Sus scrofa: one gene and its partner. The protein of the gene in region 1 interacts with the protein of each later gene in a biochemical or structural test. Links are inferred from orthologs where the notes say so. Each region holds a gene or a part of one and is shown on either strand. Other genes may lie near its edges. The genes, in order: WBP11 and PQBP1.

Evidence for each region.
Region 2: the proteins of WBP11 (region 1) and PQBP1 form a complex in vitro, tested with the Homo sapiens proteins (2 studies listed by BioGRID and IntAct, with this or other methods). The link is inferred for Sus scrofa from reciprocal best matches to the Homo sapiens genes WBP11 and PQBP1.

The regions. Positions count from the first base shown.
Region 1 is NC_010447.5:57,748,359-57,752,873, forward strand, and holds the start of WBP11 (WW domain-binding protein 11), read left to right. Parts: upstream 1-1,589; 5' UTR 1,590-1,793; intron 1,794-3,499; 5' UTR 3,500-3,557; coding exon 3,558-3,621; intron 3,622-4,148; coding exon 4,149-4,180; intron 4,181-4,515. UniProt on the Homo sapiens protein: Activates pre-mRNA splicing. May inhibit PP1 phosphatase activity.
Region 2 is NC_010461.5:42,975,414-42,979,699, reverse strand, and holds the start of PQBP1 (polyglutamine-binding protein 1), read right to left. Parts: upstream 3,055-4,286; 5' UTR 3,036-3,054; coding exon 2,969-3,035; intron 1-2,968. Other genes in the region: TIMM17B (mitochondrial import inner membrane translocase subunit Tim17-B), read left to right, coding at 3,655-3,827. UniProt on the Homo sapiens protein: Intrinsically disordered protein that acts as a scaffold, and which is involved in different processes, such as pre-mRNA splicing, transcription regulation, innate immunity and neuron development.

The DNA of each region.
Region 1 (4,515 bases):
ATGCCAATAACTCCCCCGTTGAGACTTACAAAATTATTTTAAAAGTTATTGATGCAAGAGTGTGTTTGTTATACTTGATTCTTGCATTGAAGTACAAGAAATGTCTTGTGTAATTTTAAAAGTTCAACATACCTCAAAAATTAAAGCCAGATGAAATAGTTTTTCAAGTGTACTCTTCGTGTTCTTTCTCTTCTGTCACTGCTTTTTTAAATTAGTTGCAAAATATCACAATTTAGTTCACCTTCAAAATTAAGTTTTATCTCATGTTTTTTACCTGATTTATAAACATGTATCTTGTAACTAACTGTTCTTCTGGGACTCAAAATTCAGACTAAAACCAAATCAAGTGTTTTCTAAAGCAAGAGTTCCTTTAGATAAGGGACCGACTTTACAGGTTAAATGCCTATTTAAATACTCTCTAAAAGTTAATTATATACCTCCGTCAAGATTTTGGCATATTTATAACCGATAATAAGACTTGGCCTGTGTTAACATTTCCCTATAAGGGAAAGATTAAGGGGAGAAATAACCAAGGTGTCCTTATATTTTCTTAAATATTTAAACTTACCTTTAAAAGGAAAAGATATGGGAGGACTCTCAGATAAAGAGCCCATAAAAGCGAAGGAAAAGGACTGAGATTAGACCTAAGGAACTAAGTCCGTTAGCACAGTGACATCATAAAGGATTTTTGGTGAATGAAAAGAGCAGAAAAGAGCTGACATAAATCAATCTCACAACTCGTAAACTTAAAACTGACTGTACATGTACCCCACGTTCCCTCTTCAAAGAAAAATAGTCCTGCAGCAATCTGGGACTCTGATATGGGCACCGATTTGCTCAGGTCTACAAATGGTCTGTGTAAAAACTACTGAATTTCCAGGCGCACACCACGTTAGGCAAGTGCATCAAGCACAGCAAGAAGTGTTCTTGGGGGATTCTTTTTTATTTCATTTTATTTATTTATTTTTGTCTTTTTTGCCATTTCTTGGGCCGCTCCCGCGGCATATGGAGGTTCCCAGGCTCCGAATGGGAGATCGGAGCTATAGCGGCCCAGCCTACGCCAGAACCACAGCAAGGCGGGATCGGCGCCGCGTCTGTGACCTACACCACGCTCACGGCAACACCGGATTCTTAACCCACTGAGCAAAGCCAGGGATCGAACCCGCAACCTCATGGTTCCTACTCGGATTCGTTAACCACTGAGCCACGACAGGAACGCCCGGGATTCTTTTTTAAACAGAAACTCTCAAAAGACGGCAAGCGCTGGTCATGATCAAAGAAACTACAGAAACACAATCCCCGGTAACACAAACGGCGCTAAACTTCCCCATCCGGATTCCGCCCGCCTCAGGCGGTGAAATAAATGCGGATCCCGGAAATTAGGTCAGAATGCCTGAGGGTAGGACTGTCGTCGCATCAGCCAATCATATATCCCACCCGCTTAATTTTCTTATTCTTAACTGGGCTATAGGAGTGTCAATCAACATGCACTGCACTGAGTAATGAGGGCGGGCTCTCAGCCCCGACCAACCAATTCGGTACTGTACTCCAGCGGAAGAGACTCTGGTCCTGGAGTTGTCGGTTACTCTCTATGGTTTCAGGGCGCCGAAACGATGAGATTGTCGGCCCGTATGGAGAGGAAGTGACGTAAGGATGGCGGAGGGGCGCGAGGTTTCAAGATGGCGGTGGCTGGGTGGCTGACCGAGAGGCAGAGGTGAAGGCCTCTGCGAAGTCAAACAGGCCAAGAATCGTCCCCTCCCCGCTTCTCACAGCCCCAGGAGCCCAGCAGAGGTGTGAGTGTGCGGGATCGTTCCCCTGTGGTTCTTCATCCTTCGGGTCCCTTCCTGGGGCCCGCGCGGTTGCCCCGGGAACGCCAGGCCCCTGTGCCCCCGCTTTTCCTTTTCGCGGTTAGCGTCTACCAGACCGGGAACTAGGGGATCCCCGAGCCTGGAACGGAGCAGCGTCCGGCGGTCAAGCGCCTGACTTCTCCCGGGTTGGTCAGCGGAGCCTCCTGACGTTGACCGGGTTGCCTTAGGTTTGATGTGATGTCTATACCTGGAATCAGGGTCAACCGTCGCTATGGTTTCGGCAGTTGCTAATACTGTTGGCCCCTTGTTGGACCTGGGCTCCGTTCCTTTGAAGCCTCTTTGGAGGTTGAGAGTTCCGCTGAACAGCCCGTGACCCGATGTCTCTATCGCCTCTGCTTTTAGACAGGAAAGTAGTTTGTGCATAGTCAGGCTCCAGCATCTTCTGTAAAAATTCTCTGTACTTCGTACCTGTTTTAGGCTTCAGGCTGGGGAGAGGAGTGTCAACACCTAAGCCTGAGGGTAATTGAGAGAGGAAAGCAGAAAAGATAAAGCCATCAAAGATGCGAGAGCTTGTATTTGCACCAATTTTGCTTGTTTCCGCTTCCTTTCGCCCCTCACTCCCAGTTTTTGTGAGAAGGAAGCCCTTGACAGGGTGAATTAGTTGTTACTGGAACAGTTTTGAAGCTTTTTAGCAGAAATCCAGGCAGTTGAACACTTGCCGAAAGAGGTATTAACTAATAAACTTGCCTGAAAAAAACCTTCATGAAGGGAAGGGGGACTTACATGGTCTGCTAAAAAAGTGTACCTCATGATTTCTTTTCCACCTTTTATTATTTTCAAGAGCAAGCATCAAAAAGTTAAACCTCATTCATTTGGAATAACAGGAAGAAATAGTGTAATAGTGTCTTAAATTAATTAAAATTTTGACTTACAAAGTATTTTCCCTCAAACACAATTAACGCTTCCAGTGACCTTAAAAAAATACAAATCAGAAGTCAAGTTGATATTAGTAAGAAAAATATGTATCTTGATGTTTATGTGTTTAGAAGCTCTCATATACTTTCATTTTGAATATTTGTGTTTTTAGTTATGTTTTAAGCTTCTGCTTGAGAGTCAAGAATTATATCTGAATTCTAAATCTGCATTAAATAGGCTTAAATTAATGAGTTTTTACTGTCTTAGAGGTGTTGGGAAAACATGCCAGGAAACCAATGAAAGAGGCAAGGGTGAGCTATTTGTCGTTGAGCCCAGTTTTACACACACACCATCCCTTCTTATTCCTTTTCACCCTGCCTATAAATACAGGAAGGATATAGGAAAAGAACTAATAGCTTCTCATGCACATGGTTCATGTCATATTGTTGAAGCGTTTTCTGATTGATTTTTTTTTTTCTATTGATGAGTCAGTATTGTGATCCATAGAAGAAAGTTAACTGACGACTAACTGATATTCATAGTGATCTTCAGGCTCATTACCTTTGTAAATAATAATAGGAATCTGTTGGGGAAGTTGAGACTATCTTTCCTGGGCACTAAAGTCAAGACTAGGGAAAGAATAAGGTCTCAATCAAAGAAATGTTTCTTTTCAGAGTTTAGTAGGAAGAAAATTTTATCAGTATAAAAAGAAATTTTGTAAATATAGGAAAAATCAGTGTGGTTTTTTGTTTGTTTCTTTTTTTTTGTCTTTACAGGTTTTTAGGTTTTGGGCTTTTTTTTTTTTTAAACAAGTAAACCGTACAAATTGTCAACATGGGACGGAGATCAACATCATCCACCAAGAGTGGAAAATTTATGAACCCCACAGACCAAGCCAGTAAGTATCCATTAATGTGAAATGATAAGGAGGAGAAGTGGTAAAAATCACAAGGTTTAGGAAGTCTATTTTAAGCCTTAGAGATCAGCAGTGTTAGGAAGTATCAGTTATAAAATTACCTATTGTTCTCTTGGGCACATGATTAAAACTTTAAGCATACCAAAAAAAGTAGCACCTGTATTTCTAATTTGATTGACTTTCAAAGTAGAATTGGCTTAAAGCTTTCTTTTTGTATTTGGGATTTTAAACAAATTGTTTTTAAGTTTTTGTTTAGTATTTTTTGGCATCTTTTTTCTTCAGAATCATAGCTATTTTTTGAGGGACTTAACAATGTCTTGATTCATCTTGGGTTGATGTAATTGGAAGGGTGCTGTTGGCCTCTAATGGGTAAAATCAAGGAGTGCTGCTAAATCCTACAGTGCCCAGGGTCAACCTCCCACGTTAAAGAATTATCTGTATTAAATTGGAGAAAATGCTAATGTTCAAGACTTGAAAGTTTTATTTTCTTTCTGTCTCCCTCTCTTAAGGAAAAGAAGCTCGGAAGAGAGAATTAAAGAAGGTATGACTTCAGAAGCATCCTATTAGATATAAGTGTAGTTTGGCACATCTTATTATTTGCAATGAGTGGATTTAGAAAACATTTCCAGTTGTTTTTGAGAAAAGATACATTATGCTTCTCATAACAAACCATAAGATTTACTAAGCCAAAGTACTATACTTGCAAACTGAGGTATACAGTTACATTGTTTTTTGTAAGCCAAAATACTATACTTGCAAACTGAAGTATACAGTTACAGACAGATTATTGTAACATAGTTTTTTGGTTTTTGGTTTTTTAGGGCCGCACCTGTGGCATGCAGAGGTTCCCAGGCTAGGGGTTGAATTGGAGCTGTA
Region 2 (4,286 bases), on another chromosome or scaffold:
AAATAAATCTGCCTAACTTTGTTCGGTTTCTGGGTTCAGGTAAGATTATGACATACTGTTACTCAGACTTATCTGGTTTCAGAGTTTAGATAGGGATGCATTTAAAAATATATCCAGGGGTTCCTATCATGGCACAGCAGAAACGAAATCTGGCTAGGACCCTGAGGTTGCAGGTTCGATCCCAGGCCTCGCGCAGTGGGTGAAGGATCCAGTGTTGCCGTGAGCTGTGGTGTAGGTCACAGACATGCCTCGGATCTGGCGTTGCTGTGGCTGTGGCGTAGGCCGGCAGCTGTAGCTCTGATTCGACCCCTAGCCTGGGAACCTCCACACGCCGCGGGTACGGCCCTAAAAAGCAAAAAAAACAAAAAAGTGTATCCGGAGTTCCTGTTGTGGCGCAAGGAAATGAATCCAACTAGGAACCATGAGGTTGCAGGTTCGATCCCTGGCCTCGCTCAGTGGTTAAGGAGCTGGCATTGCCCTGAGCTGTGTGTGGTGTAGGTCCCAGATGCCACTTGGATCTGGCGTTGCTGTGGCTGTGGTGTAGGCTGGCAGCTGTAGCTCTGATTAGACCCCTAGCCTGGGAACCCCCATATGCTTCAGGTGTGGCCCTAAAAAAAATAAAAATTAAATAAAAAACGTGTATCCATGTTTGTTTAGTTCCTGTGTTCAGACAGTATGTGACACCCTGCTATCCAAATCTTTTTTTTTTTTTTTTTTTTTTTTGGTCTTTTTGCTATTTCTTGGGCCGCTCCCGCGGCATATGGAGGTTCCCAGGCTAGGGGTCCAATCAGAGCCATAGCTAGCCACCGGCCTACGCCAGAGCCACAGCAACGCGGGATCCGAGCCGCGTCTGCAACCTACACCACAGCTCACGGCAACGCCGGATCGTTAACCCACTGAGCAAGGGCAGGGACGGAACCCGCAACCTCATGGTTCCTAGTCGGATTCGTTAACCACTGCGCCATGACGGGAACTCCCCAAATCTATTTTTATGTATCGTTTTGTCTTTTTAAGGCCACACCTGTGGCATGTGGAGGTTCCCAGGCTAGGGGTCAAATTGGAGCTGTAGTTGCCACTCCAGGCCACAGCCACAGCGACACAGGATCCAAGCCCCACCTGAGACCTACACTGAAGCTCATGGCAATGCCAGATCCTTAACCCACTGAGTGAGGCCAGGGGTTGAACCCGCGTCCTCATAGATACTAACTAGGTTTGTTAACTACTGAGCCATGACGGAAACTCCCCGCTATCCAAACCTATTTGGACAAAATTAGTTTGAACAGCAAAGGTTTTATCTAAAAACGTCCAAATTCATTCAGTTCTCCAGCTTGGCAAATAGGGAGTTTCTGATTCTAGTATATTGAGTAGCAAGTTTGGAGAGCAAGGCATTTATCCAAACACTGCTCTGAATATATTCAGCTCCTGAGACCTGCAACTGTTTTCAGTTACTATCAACAGAATAAAAAAGGTGTATGAGTGGGGGTTCCCATTGTGGCTCAGCAATAACGAACCCGACTAGCATCCACGAGGACGAAGGTTTGATCCCTGGCCCTGCTCAGTGGGTTAAGAATCTGGCACTGCTGTGAGCTGTGGTGTAAGTCACAGATGCAGCTCGGATCTGGCATTGCTGTGGCTGTGGCATAGGCCAGCGGCTACAGATCTGATTCGACCCCTAGCCCGGGAACTTTCATATGCCGTGGGTGTGGCCATAAAAAGACCAAACATTTTAAAAAAGGTACATGAGTACCTGGACCTCAGTTGGCCGATCACAGGTTTCAACTGTGTATACAGCTAACAATGAAATGTCTATTTCAGCAATAACATAGTGCCTGTCACACAATAGGTCCAAAATAGATCATCAGCTATAATCATTAGTGTTGTTAGTAAGAAACGTACCACGGGCACAAGGCCCGGTATTCAGTAAGCTTAAAATAAATATCAATGACCATTATCCGTATTATTAACCAAAGATCTATGCTTGGCACACAACAAACCTGTAATAGATGTCACCTGTCAATAAAGTGAAAATGAGTTTTCCAGTACACGGCCACACCTTAGCCCAAAATAGATGCCAACTTTTACTGTAATGACAGTAAGGTATAAATACTGGCAACGGCAGCACAGCAGGCCAAAATGACAGATCCTATCATTATCCTTGTTTTGTTTTTTGTTTTTTTGCCTTTTCTTGGGCCGCTCCCGCGGCATATGGAAGTTCCCAGGCTAAGGGTCCAATCGGAGCTGAGCTGCCAGCCTACGCCAGAGCCACAGCAACGCCAGATCCGAGCCGCGTCTGCGACCTACACCACAGCTCACGGCAACGCTGGATCCTTAATCCACTGAGCAAGGCCAGGGATCGAACCCGCAACCTCATGGTTCCTAGTCGGACTCGTTAACCACTGCGCCACGACAGGAACTCCCCTACCATTATTTTACATACTGTAAACCATAATGCATATGCCAGCCACTTAAGCAGACCCGAAATACATGTCAGTTATTGAACTGGTGAACAAGTCGGTATATATCGCCTGAACAGTACCTGGCTCTACAGTAGATCTGAAAAAAATGTTACCTACTAGTATGGTAAAGAACAAAATATCAGCCTCCTCCCACTGTATTTGGTCCAAAAGAGGCTGTAATAGATGTCAGTTTACTATTAATATCCTTAGATACTCTTCCAGGGATCGATTGGATTAAATCTGGCGTATGAAGATCCAAGATAAGCATCAGCTGTCAGTATTAGGTACGACTAAAGCTGAAATGTCTATTCCCTGCCCCACCCCCACCGTAGGCGTCCGCGCGCACGCGGTAGGAATCGGCGTCAGGAATACGTATTGTTTACAACAAAATGTCTGCCAGCCCACTGCTTGGTATATAGTAGGCCCATACTAGGGATCGAGTGGCAATATCAACAACAAAGTGCCTGTCAAGCCTGGCACATGGTAGGCCCATCTGCTCTTAGCTCTCTCACCGGGCTCGAGATGTTTGAGGATGCCTCTCTTGGCCAAGCGGGTCTGCAACGCAACGGGCAGCGGCATAGCGGGTAGCAGACAGACCTAGGGAAGGACAGACGAGAAAGCAGTTCAGATAAGGATTTGAATCTGGAGCTCGTAAGCAAGCGCCTCTCCCCAACATGCACTCATCTAGACTCCCACCTACCCACCTGCACCAGGAGCTGGGCAACAGAACCTACCCGCTAAAAGGTGGAAGGGATAAACGGCAGTATCACCGAAATTCTCGCCAACTCTCCTCTCCAGGCGGGGTGCTCCGGGACAGGACTCCTCTCCCAGGCCTCCTCTCCCAGGCCTAGGCTCCACCCATCGCCGAAGGGGCCAAGCGCCGCTCCCCCGCGCCCCAGAAATGGGCTCACCCAACGTCCCCCAAAGACTGCCGGGTGGAAGGAACCAAGGAGCAGGGGTGGGGGGAGCAGGGTTTCCTCTAGCTCCAAAAAATGCGCCCACCCCGACATTACCAATACAGTCACGCGGGTTGCGGAAGGCTGTCAGACTGTCGGCCTCTCTCTCGACGCCTTTATGATCGCCAGGACCACGACTCTTTTTCTCCTGAGGGAAAGAATGAGGCCCTCTCTCCCTGAGCCAGAGGTAACTGGGCGACGCTCGGGCTGCAGAGAACAGATGACGGAAACCTAACTGGCCAATGAGAGTGCGCCTTGGCCTGACGTCTGGCGAAAGGACCCAATCATTACCTTGGAATAGGTGGAAAGCTCGGGCGCCTGTGTGCGTTTACAGTGGGGGTGTGGCCCGGCCGGGATTTAGCCAGACTGCGCGGCCGGACGCCGGCGCCATGGAGGAGTACGCTCGGGAGCCTTGGTACGGCGAGGGGCACAGGCCTCGGGACTCTTGCTGCGGCGCCACGGCCAGCGGTGGGAGGCGGGCGGGGGAGGCGCTGGCTACACAGCGCCACGTCCCAGACTCGGGAGACTTTTAAACGTTTGTTGTCTCCTTCCGCTCCCGTCCACTTGTTTCCTTACTTGGGCTCCGTTAAGAGGGGCCACAACTGTGTGCTTGAAGGAGCTGGTGCGGTGCAGGACGAACCACTCCACGTTTCCCTTGACTCTTGTCCCCGGTCCCTCTTGTTAACGGAAAGAGACACGTTGGTCGAATCCATTCCAGCCGGGGGGTGGTGTGTTGCTAGGCGGAAATCCCCAGGGTTACCGCGCGTGGTTTTTCCCAGGTCCCTTTGGTGAATGGAGGCGGGGCTTGGGTGAGCCCACTGTGGGCAAGGAGGGGGTGTCGGATCGTCCCCACGGTCTGCAGCTAGGTTTTTCC